Linked DNA regions of Neurospora crassa OR74A. The protein of the gene in region 1 interacts with the protein of each later gene in a pairwise test. Links are inferred from orthologs where the notes say so. Each region holds a gene or a part of one and is shown in the gene's direction. Other genes may lie near its edges.

What was found. The genes of interacting proteins can lie anywhere in the genome.
Region 2: the proteins of NCU02717 (region 1) and NCU06318 interact in a two-hybrid assay, tested with the Saccharomyces cerevisiae proteins (2 studies listed by BioGRID). The link is inferred for Neurospora crassa OR74A from reciprocal best matches to the Saccharomyces cerevisiae genes CLF1 and PRP22.
Region 3: the proteins of NCU02717 (region 1) and NCU00664 interact in binary tests that used the Saccharomyces cerevisiae proteins (3 or more experiments, as listed by UniProt). The link is inferred for Neurospora crassa OR74A from reciprocal best matches to the Saccharomyces cerevisiae genes CLF1 and ISY1.

What each region holds. Positions count from the first base shown.
Region 1 is NC_026501.1:3,299,787-3,304,071, forward strand, and holds NCU02717 (pre-mRNA-splicing factor clf-1), read left to right. Parts: upstream 1-1,481; 5' UTR 1,482-1,580; coding exon 1,581-1,899; intron 1,900-1,976; coding exon 1,977-3,745; 3' UTR 3,746-3,949; downstream 3,950-4,285. Other genes in the region: NCU02716 (pre-mRNA splicing factor), read right to left, coding at 1-484, 587-934. UniProt on the Saccharomyces cerevisiae protein: Involved in pre-mRNA splicing and cell cycle progression. Required for the spliceosome assembly by promoting the functional integration of the U4/U6.U5 tri-snRNP particle into the U1-, U2-dependent pre-spliceosome.
Region 2 is NC_026504.1:2,933,106-2,937,226, reverse strand, and holds the start of NCU06318 (ATP-dependent RNA helicase DHX8), read left to right. Parts: upstream 1-1,310; 5' UTR 1,311-1,577; coding exon 1,578-4,121. Other genes in the region: NCU06317 (stress response RCI peptide), read right to left, coding at 146-600, 678-735.
Region 3 is NC_026501.1:7,640,695-7,644,757, reverse strand, and holds the start of NCU00664 (pre-mRNA-splicing factor isy-1), read left to right. Parts: upstream 1-1,252; 5' UTR 1,253-1,473; coding exon 1,474-1,476; intron 1,477-1,554; coding exon 1,555-2,271; 3' UTR 2,272-2,691; coding exon of another isoform or gene 2,692-4,063. Other genes in the region: NCU00665 (Ser/Thr protein phosphatase), read right to left, coding at 2,692-4,063. UniProt on the Saccharomyces cerevisiae protein: Involved in pre-mRNA splicing and cell cycle control.

The sequences.
Region 1 (4,285 bases):
CAAAGATGTTCATGCGAGACTGTACGTACTCAGTGAGGGTCTTCTTAGCCTTATCAAGATCGACCACCATCAAGCACGCTTCTGTGACGCGCTGGATCTCATTCTCGCCCAGAAATTGACCCTTGGAAACCGTGGCTTCCACCGTGACAATCATCAAGGTTGGTCCGTCAAGAACTGACTTGAGGGTTAACCCCAGAGGGTTATCGGTGGAAAGCTGCAACGCTTTCATGCTCTCCGAGTCCATTGGGGAGTTGCCCAAGATGGCAACAACCTTGCAGTATTCGATTGGGTTCGGTAATAGCGACTCGAGTGCAGCAAATCTGGCGGAGAAGTGATCCCTCACAAACTTGTGGACAAGGGCCACCTCACTGTCTATCAGAGTAGACAGTCTGTTGGCGTTGGTCAAGAGGTTGTATTCCGGGTGATCTTCGACATGGCCGACGTCGTTGGCCTGAGCGGGTTGTGCTTGATAGTGTGCGATTTTCTGCAACGTTCGATCCAGACTGTCAGGGCTATTGCTCAAATAAGATGTAAACGCTTTTCCATGTTCAAAGGGAGCACCGCAAACGGGTATAAGGGAACTAACCTCGAGTACTGGCTTCAATGACTTCATAAGAGTCGCAACAGTTCGAACATCTCGCACTCCTCCCAGATGCATCTTCTCAACCTTGGCTTTTGCTTCCTCGGGATCTTCTACAGCATTCGAGTCGTCGGCGCCGACGCCACCCATAGCTTCGTCTTCGTCCTCGCCCTCCTCGTCGCCCATGCCTTCATCTTGATCCTCATCATTGATCGGTACATGTGCGTCGTCCACGCCGGAGCCTCCAGTCGTGTCAACGCCATCGCCTAGAAGACCATCGCCATACTCCTCGCCACCGGCCTCGGAGCCAGAGTCCTCAAAGTCCTGGAGGAGCTCGTCGAGAGTAGACGACATGTTGGCAAAACCCTGTTTCCTGGGCAGAATATTCGGCGACTGTTCGGGTCTCAAGGTGGTTAGATTCAGGAGTAAACGGGACAGTCGCTGATACAGGTACAACAGCTGCCGTGTGCCGAAGAAAGAATGGAAAAGAGTTCGATGTGTTGTCGACTTGTTTTGGTTTTGGGAAGAATGGAGGCAAGAGACCGCGGCGTTGCATCACGGCCTAGCGTACTGTACTGACCTCGTTGCGCCAGTGCTTTGCCTGCCGGTCGTACACAGTGCGGCTTGGTATGTCGCCGATAGCTGCCAGTGCAGTGAGTAGATAGTGTCAAGTAGGCGTAGTTCGCAGCCACACCCAATACAGCGGCCTTCCAGCGGCTCAGCGTCGTCTTATGGGCGAACCTGCTCGCTGAGGTCGGACATGTACTACCTATCAGATGTACAATGACATGATGAGCGAAAAGTGTCCATACCCACTGTGCAGCAAGGTTCAGTAAGTAGGCAGGGGCATCGAGCCACGGTCCATCAATCGCAGCGCGTCCTCAACTGAGTTCAGTGGCTGGCTGCTGTTGCGTCCAGACCCCAAAATCTCATTGAGAAACCGAACTTACAACACCACGCCAACATCTGCAGATCGCCACTTTTTACGCCCATCTTCACAATGGAGTCATCGCGCGGCCCGCCACGGGTGAAGAATAAAGCCCCTGCGCCTGTACAGATCTCGGCCGAGCAGCTGCTGCGCGAGGCCGTCGACCGCCAGGAAGTCAACCTCCAGACCCCGACACAGCGCTTTGCCGACCTCGAGGAGCTCAAGGAATACCAAGGTCGTAAGCGCAAGGAGTTTGAGGACTACGTGCGGCGTAACCGAGTTCGTCTATCGAACTGGCTCCAGTATGCTCAATGGGAGCTAGAACAGAAGGAGTTTGCGCGGGCTCGCTCTGTGTTCGAGCGCGCTCTGGATGTACATCCCAACAATACTCGTATGTTTGTCTAAACTCAAAGTGTCCATGTGCTGTTAAATGTGGCGCACATCAGTCGCTAACGATATGTCCAACAGAACTCTGGATCCGATACGTTCAAGCAGAGATCAAGAACCGTAACATCAACCATGCACGCAATCTGTTGGACCGCGCTGTCACGCGGCTGCCCAGAGTCACATCTCTCTGGTACCAGTATCTCTACGTTATGGAGATGCTCGGCGACATTCCGGGTACCAGACAAGTCTTCGACCGGTGGATGAAGTGGCAGCCAGATGAGCAGGCGTGGAGTGCTTATATCCGTCTAGAGAAACGTTACGGCGAGTTCGACAGGGCAAGGGAGATCTTCAGGGCCTTTACCGCCGTCCATCCGGAACCGAGGACGTGGCTCAAGTGGGCCAAGTTTGAAGAGGAATACGGGACCAGCGACACGGTCCGCGAGGTCTTCCAGACAGCTATCCAGACAATTGCCGAAACGCTAGGCGACGATGCCGTTGACGAGAGGATATTCATCGCCTTCGCCCGGTACGAGGCCCGTCTGCGTGAGTATGAGCGGGCCCGTGCCATCTACAAGTTTGGCCTCGACAACTTGCCTCGGTCCAAGTCGATGACGCTACATGCCCACTACACCACATTTGAAAAGCAGTTTGGCGACAAGGAGGGTGTGGAGGACGTCATTCTTACAAAGAGGAGGAGATTGTACGAGGAGCAAGTCAAGGAGAACGCAAAGAACTACGACGTCTGGTTTGACTTTGCGCGACTCGAGGAGAGCGGAGGAGATGTCGATCGGACCAGAGAAGTCTACGAGCGAGCCATTGCTCAAGTACCGCCAACCCAAGAGAAGCGACACTGGAGGCGGTACATTTTCCTCTTCCTCTTTTACGCGATATGGGAGGAGAGGGAAACAAAGGATATCGGGCGAGCCCGTCAGATCTACGACACCTGTCTGAACCTGATCCCCCACAAGAAGTTCACTTTTGCCAAAGTGTGGGTTGCCAAGGCGCACTTCGAGATCCGACAGGGCCAACTAACGACGGCCCGCAAAACCCTCGGCCGCGCCATCGGCATGTGCCCCAAAGACAAGATCTTCAAGGAGTACATCCTCCTCGAGCAGAAGCTCTACGAGTTCGAGCGCTGCCGCACCCTCTACGAAAAGCATGTCATGTACAACCCGGCCAACTGCCAAACATGGATCAAGTGGGCCGAGCTGGAACGTGGTCTCGACGATCTCGAGCGCACCCGCGCCATCTTCGAGCTCGCTGTCTCGCAGCCGATCCTGGACATGCCCGAGGTGGTATGGAAGGCGTACATCGATTTCGAGGAAGAAGAGGGCGAGTACGAGCGGACGCGTGCCCTGTACGAGCGCCTGCTCGAGAAGGCCGATCACCCCAAGGTCTGGATCAGTTACGCCCAGTTCGAGATCAACATACCCGACGAGGCCGAGGAGGAGGAAGAAACGGAGGAGGAGGTGGAAGAGAAGCCTGTTAGCGAAGAGGCCAAGGCACGTGCTCGCAAGATCTTTGAGAGGGCGCACAAGAGCATGAAGGAGCGCGAGCTCAAGGCCGAGCGTGTGTCGCTGCTCAACGCGTGGTTGGCGTTTGAGAAGACGCATGGGTCGGCGGAGGATATCGAAAAGATTCAGAAACAAATGCCTAGGAAGACCAAGAAGAAGCGTAAGCTGGAGGATGATACTTGGGAGGAATATGTCGATTATATCTTCCCGGCTGATGATCAGCAGACCAAGAACTTGTCGAGTCTGTTGGCCATGGCGAATGCTTGGAAACAGCAGGCCGCGGGGGGTGCTGGTGGCGCTGCTGTCGATGAAGCGGCTCAGGGAGGGAGCAGCTAGTGTAGGAGATGCAATGTTATATTAGGCCGCAGACCAAGAAGCCCATAAACTTTTCCCCCCGAATACAGTAACCGATATGGTGCGGATCTTTACTCCCACACATATATACCTCTTGAGTTGTTCTCGGTATTAAAGATCACATAAAAAGCCCAAACCACGATAGAAACCCCATACTTTGATGAAAGGTGTGAATTATATTTTAACCAACTGCTTGGTAGGTTGTTCCATATCCCGTACGATTAAATACGGCTTTGTACATGTTGGGATACTCTGAGGATATCAGGTCTTCCTCGGCCGTCGAATCTCATGGTGGTCTTGACGTCGATTTCCAGCACATTGTATTCGTGGGTCCAAAAAGTATCGTTTATCTCCATGAAAGAAACTGACTACCGGCCTTCTCTTTATACATATATCGTGAGAATTCGCAAAGAGGCATACATTGTTTATCATTGTCATTCTCTCAACCTCTCGGAATTGATCTGTTTCTTCATCATCCTCATAAAACCCAACCTGTTGACCATCATTATCATCATCATCATG
Region 2 (4,121 bases), on another chromosome or scaffold:
GCTGCTCAGGACACTCGCAAGCGCACTGGCAATCGCAAGCCGCACTCCTCCAATTTTTGAAAGAACGAGTAGCACCCTCTGTCTTGGTGGTTGCAGAAGTAGAGCCATTAACAGTGGGTATCGGCGTCGTAGATGTTGAAGGACCCTAATCCTGAGTCTGAATTTTATGATCACCTGCTACTACTTGCGCGTAACTCGGCGGGGGCGCAGCATGGCTGTTGTCGCTGTCTCCTCCTGCGCTAGGACCAGCATGTGCAATACCCGAATCTTGGGGCGCGTGGCCAGCGGTGGTACCGTAATTCATGGGCCCTTGTCGCTGCGGCTGCTGATTCTTGTGGGCGGCTTGTTGGTGGTGGTAGTGGCGGCCACCGCCGGTTTGATTGTTGCCGGGCTGGTCGTGGACAAAGACATAAATTCGTTGACCGCTTTCAACACGGCCGATGTCATTGGCGTCGTAAACGGCGCCGTCGTAGTCAAATGGTGGGGTAGGGTTCTTCGCAATGATGTACCAGGCGTGTAGAAGGCCGGGGAGGAAGCCGAGGACGCAGAGGAGGAGGTTGATGAAAGAGTCAGCGGAGCAGATGCCGGTTTTGACCCAGACTGTGGGGAAGGGGTTAGTGGATGATCGTAGATAGCCTTGTAAGGCGACTTCGTTTGAACTATGATGTTGAGCTTACCAGGCAGCGGTGGGAAGAGGATGGCTAAGAAGCCGAGGAAGATGTCGGTGGACCACATTGTTGTGCTTGTTGTACTGTGCAACCAAGACGACGCAAGGATACAAATAAAAAGGACTGGAAAGGTGTGACTATTTTGACGATAAATAGGTAGGTTGAAAACGAAGGTCTTGATGTTTATGGTAAGTGGAATGGTTCAAGCATCCAAAACGATGTAAGACGAATGGAGGAAAGATGGACTGATGGAGAGGCTGCGGATCCTCAATGATGCAACCGATGGGGCTTCGTCACTGGACGGGTCACGCGCCGAAAAGGCCAGGCCCTGCGCCAGGGGAGCTTGCGTAAGCTACCAGGAACCCCGCCCGATTCGATGAACGACAGGGGCAAAGGGAAGACGTTCCTTCAACGGACTCAATTCTGCCCGCTAGAGACGGGGTTAGGGTTATGTGGCCATCAAGGTTCCCTTCAATGACTGGCATCGAGTACTGACTCGTGCGCTTCCAAAACCATACCATTTTAAGTGGCTGTGATGGCTGGAATAAAACGATGAGTCACGGGAACTCTCCGGCAGGTTCCATTTCTTGGCGGATCATGGAGCCTCGTTGTCGCTGGCCGCTGGCAATGGACAGGCCGCGCGCATCACTGCACTTTTCGGCTTTTCGCGTCCGCTACAGGCAATTCGTTGTCACTGTATCTCCCAACATCGTCTCGAGGTGCCGGATTTCTGGACCTTCTGCGAAAACTCAAGCCATCACAACAGATCTCCCCTCCACTGCCCGTTGACGGGAGCTGTCGAATTCCCTGTCCTAACGCTCTCCTTTGCTTGAGAGACGTTCATACAACTTTCGATTTTATTCACGGACGATAGCCACAAATTACTGAAGTCACCAGACGGCCACCACCATGGACGACTTGGAGAGCCTCGAGCTTCTGTCGCTCGTGTCCAAGGTCACGTCCGAGTTGCAGAACCACTTGGGCGTCAGCGAAAAGACGCTCGCCGAGTTCATCATCGCCCAACGAGTAGAATGCGGGTCATTCGACGAGTTCAAGCAGAAGTTGGCCACCATCGGCGCCGACTTCCCGCCCAGCTTGGTTGAGAGTATCGACAGACTTGTCCTGACCTTGCACCCAAAGTTCAAGGGCCAAAACCATGGACAGACCCGCGCCGATGAAAACGAGAAGCATGGTCAATCTGCCGAGGAAAAGACAAAGGTGTTCAAGGGTCTGTCCATCCCGGACAAGGAAGTGGATGTCATCGACGACACCCTGGCCTTACTCGAAAGCCTCGAGCCTAAGAGAGCGGAGAAAGAACGACCAAGGAAACGAAGCCGCACCCCCGAACGAGACGACTATGCAGACGACTACGGGAAGAGGAAGCGCAAGGAGCGATACCGGTCAAGGTCGAGGTCAAGGTCCAGGTCAATTTCGCCACCAAGAGGCCGACGGAAGGGCCGATATGATGATGAATACGATGGTGATTTCCGACGGCCACCACCGCGCGAGGTGGACGACTCCCCTATTTTATACAAGGTTTACGAAGGCCACGTCACGGGAATCAAGGACTTTGGTGCCTTTGTCAACCTGCATGGCGTTAAGGGCAAGGTTGACGGCTTAGTACATGTATCCGCTTTCGGTCAGCGTGTCAATCACCCTTCGGATCTCTTATCCAAGGGTCAGGAAGTCAAAGTCAAAGTCATTAAGCTCGAGGGAGGTAGAGTAGGTTTGTCGATGAAGGACGTAGACCAAGAGACGGGCATGGACCTCGCACCGCAATTGCGGATAGGTTCGGGCGCCAATATGGAGGCATTGGGCGGGAGAGGAGGATACGATACAAAGAATGTTGTCACCAACGGCTTTGGTGACAAGGGAGCATTCCAAGCGACAGCAAATGCCAGGCAACACAAGAAGAGGATGACGTCTCCTGAAAGATGGGAGATTCGTCAAATGATTGCGGCAGGCATTGCAAAGGCATCCGATTACCCAGAACTTGAAGAGGACTACCAGGCAACACTCAAAGGCGAGGGACAGATGGAGCTTGAGGAGGATGTTGATATCGAGGTTCGAGACGAGGAACCTCCCTTCCTGGCTGGACAGACCAAACAGTCACTCGAGCTGTCACCCATCCGCGTTGTTAAAGCTCCCGACGGGTCCCTTAACCGCGCCGCCATGGCAGGCACCAATCTTGCCAAAGAACGAAAGGAACTGCGGCAGCAGGAGACTGAAGCCAAAAAAGCAGAGGAGAAAAAGGTTGACTTGTCCTCCCAATGGCAAGATCCTATGGCCAACCCGGAGACCAGAAAGTTTGCTAGTGATTTGCGCAAAAACGCTCAAGCAGCACCAGCGGCTCCCGATGCTGTTCCTGAGTGGAAGAGGGCCGTTGCACCCAAAGAAGTGTCGCTAGGCAGGCGCACCAACATGAGCATCAAGGAGCAACGAGAATCTCTCCCCGTCTTTGCCTTTAGAGAACAACTAATCACGGCTGTGAGGGAGAACCAGGTCCTTATTGTTGTCGGCGAGACGGGATCCGGAAAAACGACACAGCTTACTCAATACCTGGCTGAAGCCGGCTTTACTAACAATGGGATGATTGGATGTACGCAGCCTCGCCGTGTCGCCGCCGTGTCTGTTGCGAAACGTGTTTCTGAAGAAGTCGGCTGCCAGCTTGGCCAAGAAGTTGGTTATACCATCAGATTCGAGGACGTCACCAGCCCAGCAACCAAGATCAAGTATATGACCGACGGTATGCTTCAGAGAGAGATCCTGATCGACCCCGACCTTAAGAGATACTCGGTCATTATGCTTGATGAGGCCCACGAACGTACCATCGCCACCGACGTGCTCTTTGCCCTTTTGAAAAAGACAATGAAGAGAAGGGAGGACCTCAAGGTTATCGTCACTAGTGCTACCTTGGATGCCGACAAGTTCAGCGAGTACTTCAACCAATGCCCCATCTTTACCATCCCTGGTCGTACATTCCCTGTCGAGATTCTCTACTCCCGTGAGCCAGAGTCAGACTACTTGGATGCCGCTCTCACCACCGTCATGCAAATCCATCTCAGCGAGCCAATGGGCGACATCCTTTTGTTCTTGACAGGACAGGAAGAAATTGACACGGCTTGCGAAATTCTATACGAACGGATGAAAGCCTTGGGCCCTAACGTTCCTGAGCTTCTCATCTTGCCCGTTTACTCTGCCCTTCCTAGCGAGATGCAGAGTAGGATTTTCGACCCAGCGCCGCCAGGGAGTCGAAAGGTTGTTATCGCGACCAACATTGCCGAGACATCCATCACGATCGACCATATCTACTACGTTGTTGATCCAGGGTTCGTCAAGCAGAACGCATACGACCCCAAACTTGGCATGGACTCGTTGGTTGTCACTCCTATTTCGCAGGCTCAAGCCAACCAGAGAGCCGGTCGAGCTGGTAGAACAGGACCAGGAAAGTGC
Region 3 (4,063 bases), about 4.3 Mb from region 1:
ACTGGTGAAGGCGAGAGTTTCGGTGAGAGTAACTTTCCCAGCCAGGCATTGCGGCGGCAATGGTAGTGCTTGGTGCGCGGTGCGCGTCCCAAGTACTCCAAGTTGTGGAAAGGACAGCCACACTAACTAACACTTGTTCTTCATCCAGACACCTGCAAAGATGATTCTGCCGCTCTGGACCAAGGCTGACTGATAACCTCGACAGCTAGCAGAACGTATCTCACATGATGCCCGTCTTGGAAAACCAAAACGGGACATCCAGCCTTGCGGCAACCAAGCCCCGATCCTTCCATAGGGTAAGGGGTTCGTAACTTCTGGTTAAGAACCACTCCATGGGTAGGATTCGGCGATTTATAAGGCTGGCTGTGAGACGTTCATGCTGGGTAGACGGTCGAGGCTACAGCCGGACCAGGTCCAGAGCAGAGGACCAGGTGTACACATGTCCGGATGGGGGTGCATGTGAACTGATGAGGAAAGGAGGAGGGGAAATGTAAAAGTATGGTGGAAGTAGTGCAGAAAGTTGTGGGGTACGAGTTGTTGAAGAGGCCTGCTCAGATATCCGTTCTTGTTGGGCTTTCATCTTCTGCCAGATGGTTCGTCGACTCCTCGAAGAGGAAAGATGCCCCTATCGGTGGAATCAAGACACCCTGAATTGTGATGGTCTTCTTCACTGCAGGGCCCCAGGAGTAGATGAAAGAAGTGGCAATGGAACTAGAAAGTGGTAAGTGAGTTCGTGATAGGTAGCTGAAGGTATTGGCTTGAGGAGGGGTGGTTGTGATTCGAAGAGGGTTCGTTGCCAGGCGCTGATAGATTGAGGCTGCAAAAATGAAAGGTCAAAAGCATGAAAGAAAAAATGGAAGTATAGAAAAGGATGGTGATAGAGTGTTGGCTCGCTTCATAGGTAGACCTCGGTTCGCATGCTCATTCAAGAAGAGCGATGTGCATCCTCGGGCATCGCCAGACGTGAAAGGAGCTACTCAGCTGGAAGCCGAACCAAACCGAGCCTCTCAAGTTTGCAGTGACTTCCAGAGCCGCGCGATACTGCGGCAATAAAATAGAATCCCGCGTTCTGAGGATGGCTGTAGATTTTCGTCGTTCGAATGGTAAAGTTCAAGGTGTAGAGGTAATCAATCTGGTGACTTGTTGGATGCAGGTTGAGATTCAGGACGGACGCGTTCGAATTGCGGCGCCCCGTAATCATCTGCAGTGGAGCTCGGGCCACAATCACAGAAACGCCACACCACCAAACAAACGAGGCATCACAGCCTTGCAGCCTTCTGTCTTGTACCAGTACATCATCTTCGAATTTCCGGCAATACGTAAAATCCACGGCTGGCCACAGTTAGACTTTCCACTGCGCCTTCAATCCCCAGCCGATCCTACTTGCCTCGTCTCAGGAGCAAGCTTAGGTTATCAATCACAATACCCTTCCACGCCTAATTTCCCCCGCGCAACCCATAATCACCATCCAAAATGGTATGTTCCTGATTAATCCCACTGTTCGACTCTTCTATCGGTCTGTACAATCCGTGTACTAACAATGTCCCAACCCAGGCACGCAACTCCGAAAAAGCCCAGTCGATGCTCTTCCGCTTTCGCGAAGCGCAAGCCGCCGACCTGGGCATCATCGACGCCGGGCGCACGCGCCGCCCGCGCTCCATCACCGAGCAAGACAGCATTCCCGCATGCGAAAAGTGGCGAGGCCAAGTCCTCAAGGAAATCTCCCGCAAGGTGTCCCGCATCCAAGACCCAGCCCTATCCGACTACCAGATCCGCGACCTCAACGATGAGATCAACAAGCTCATGAGAGAAAAACACATGTGGGAGGTGCAGATCCGCAACCTGGGCGGACCGAACTACATGCGCTCGGGAGGGAAAGTGTACGACGAAGCCGGGCGGGAGATCCCTGGTGGAGGGAGGGGGTACAAGTACTTTGGCAGGGCGAGAGAGTTACCCGGTGTGAAGGAGCTGTTTGAGGCGGCGGCGAGGGCGAAGCAGGATGATGAGAAACCATTGGAGACGAGAGATGATTTAAGGAAACAAGTGGATGCGGCGTATTACGGGTATGCGCCGGACGAGGAGGACGAGAAGCTGTTGGCGTATGAGGCGGCAAGGGAGAGGCAGGCGTTTGAGAACCTGGCGAAGGCGGCGGCGGGATTGGAGCCGCCTCCCGGATGGGAACCGTTGCCGGAGTGGGAGCTTCCTACGATGGACGAGGTTGCGCAGGAGCTTATTGACAGGAGGAGGCGGAGGCTGTTGGATCAGTTGTAGCCTGGCGATGACTGAAATGATTTGTAATTGGGTCTGTGGGAAGAGGAGAAGGGGGCACATGTCGGTTGCGCGGGCATGGTGATGGTTCGTTTTGTAGCATTTACACGGATACGGCGCGGCGTTCAAGGCGCAGAGTAATGGGATACATGATACTTTGGCGGGTTCGACAACCAGGTTCAGCTCAAGTGCTGGGTTTATATTCGTTTTGCGCACAGTACTCGCTATGTTACCATTGTTATTTACAGTCTGAAATCATTATCCCGTTCATAATTCATATTTGATCCCTCAATCCAGCCAGGTCATCAAGAAATAGACGCCAATGTAACACATCCCGTACCGCATGACCGAGCCCCGTCTCAGGCCGCCGTGCCTTCAGTTTCCCGTGCCAGCGAGATTATATGAACAACATGGCTGTTGTGCCTAACAGTTAGCAGGCCAGTTCTCCTTAATCCAGCCCGCCATCAATTCCGTAAAGGTCCCATTGACATATCTCTTGGCATCATCATTAGTGTAGTCGCCTCCGGAGATCTTCAGCGCAACCATGACCCATGGTTGAATGAAATCAAAGAACACGAGATCAACCTTTTCAGGCTTCTCGCCCTCCTCCTTGGGCGAGAACCCAACTTCGGCCTGGATGCAGTTAGGCACGACATAGAAGTTAATGGCAGAGTGGATAGCATCATCGCCATCGTCACCAATATCATCCTTTGTCGTATAGCCTTCGATCAAAACGGGCTCCTTCTTAGAGGCGCCATCACCCGACAGGGGCTTTTGCCCGTCCACAAGACCCTCAGTCGCGAAGGAAGGCATTGGCTTCTCATGAATAATGTCCTGTGTGATGGCAAACTGCTCCGGGATGGCCATAAATCGAGCATCCATAGGAGCATGCTCCTCCATGATCCGCCCAGCGTTGTTGAGTAAGCCGATAACTTTACTGGCAACCTCGTAAGGGACGTCGGGGATGTAGTTGAGGACGCTGAGGAAGGGCGAGATGATATACGTTGTATCTCTGGTAAATTTGCCCTTGAAGACATCGAAGCGGATGGCACCGGTGTTCATGATAACCAGACGAGGGACATCTTTCCTGTCGTCGTTGATGGCGATCTCTGGAAGAACCTCCTTCTCGAGCCACGTGTAGATGCTGTCCTCGGAGGGATAGGGCGCCCTCGTCATCCACAGGTTCTTTGGTGCACAGCCGAACGTGTAGTCCAGATCGAGATCCTTGCGGGCCTGGGCGATCATTTGTGATACATTTCGGCCGTGGTCTGTAGGAAATGTGGACTTGTTCAACCCGGTGTGATAGTAGAGGCCCAGTAGGTTGTTGTCGATGTACCTACGGTGGAACGAGAATTCCGCGGCCTCAGTCGAAGGCGGCTCGTCGTCATTGACAGCAGCAGCGACGACATCTTTGGTTGTCCTCTTCAGGTCACCGTCCACCGACATCCAGCCGATCGTTTCAAAGTAACGGCCGCTGGCGATAGCGAACGATCTGGAGTCATACGCCGTCGCGTCACGCACGTGCACATGGCCGCCGAAGAACAGGATGGGCGTTAATCGATTCTGCTTACGAATGGCTGTAAAGATCTCCTTGAACTCGGGCATCTTCACGCCGACGTGACCAATCACCACAAACACATCGGGGTTCTCCCGGATGGCGTCCTGGAACCATTGCTCCTTGATGGTCTCCCTCACGGGCTGTACCACTGTGTTATTGGCATTTCCGGTAAAGTCGAAAAGAAAACCCATGGCGACAATAGTCAGCTTCTGGTTCTTGGTCTGGAACTTGCGGTAC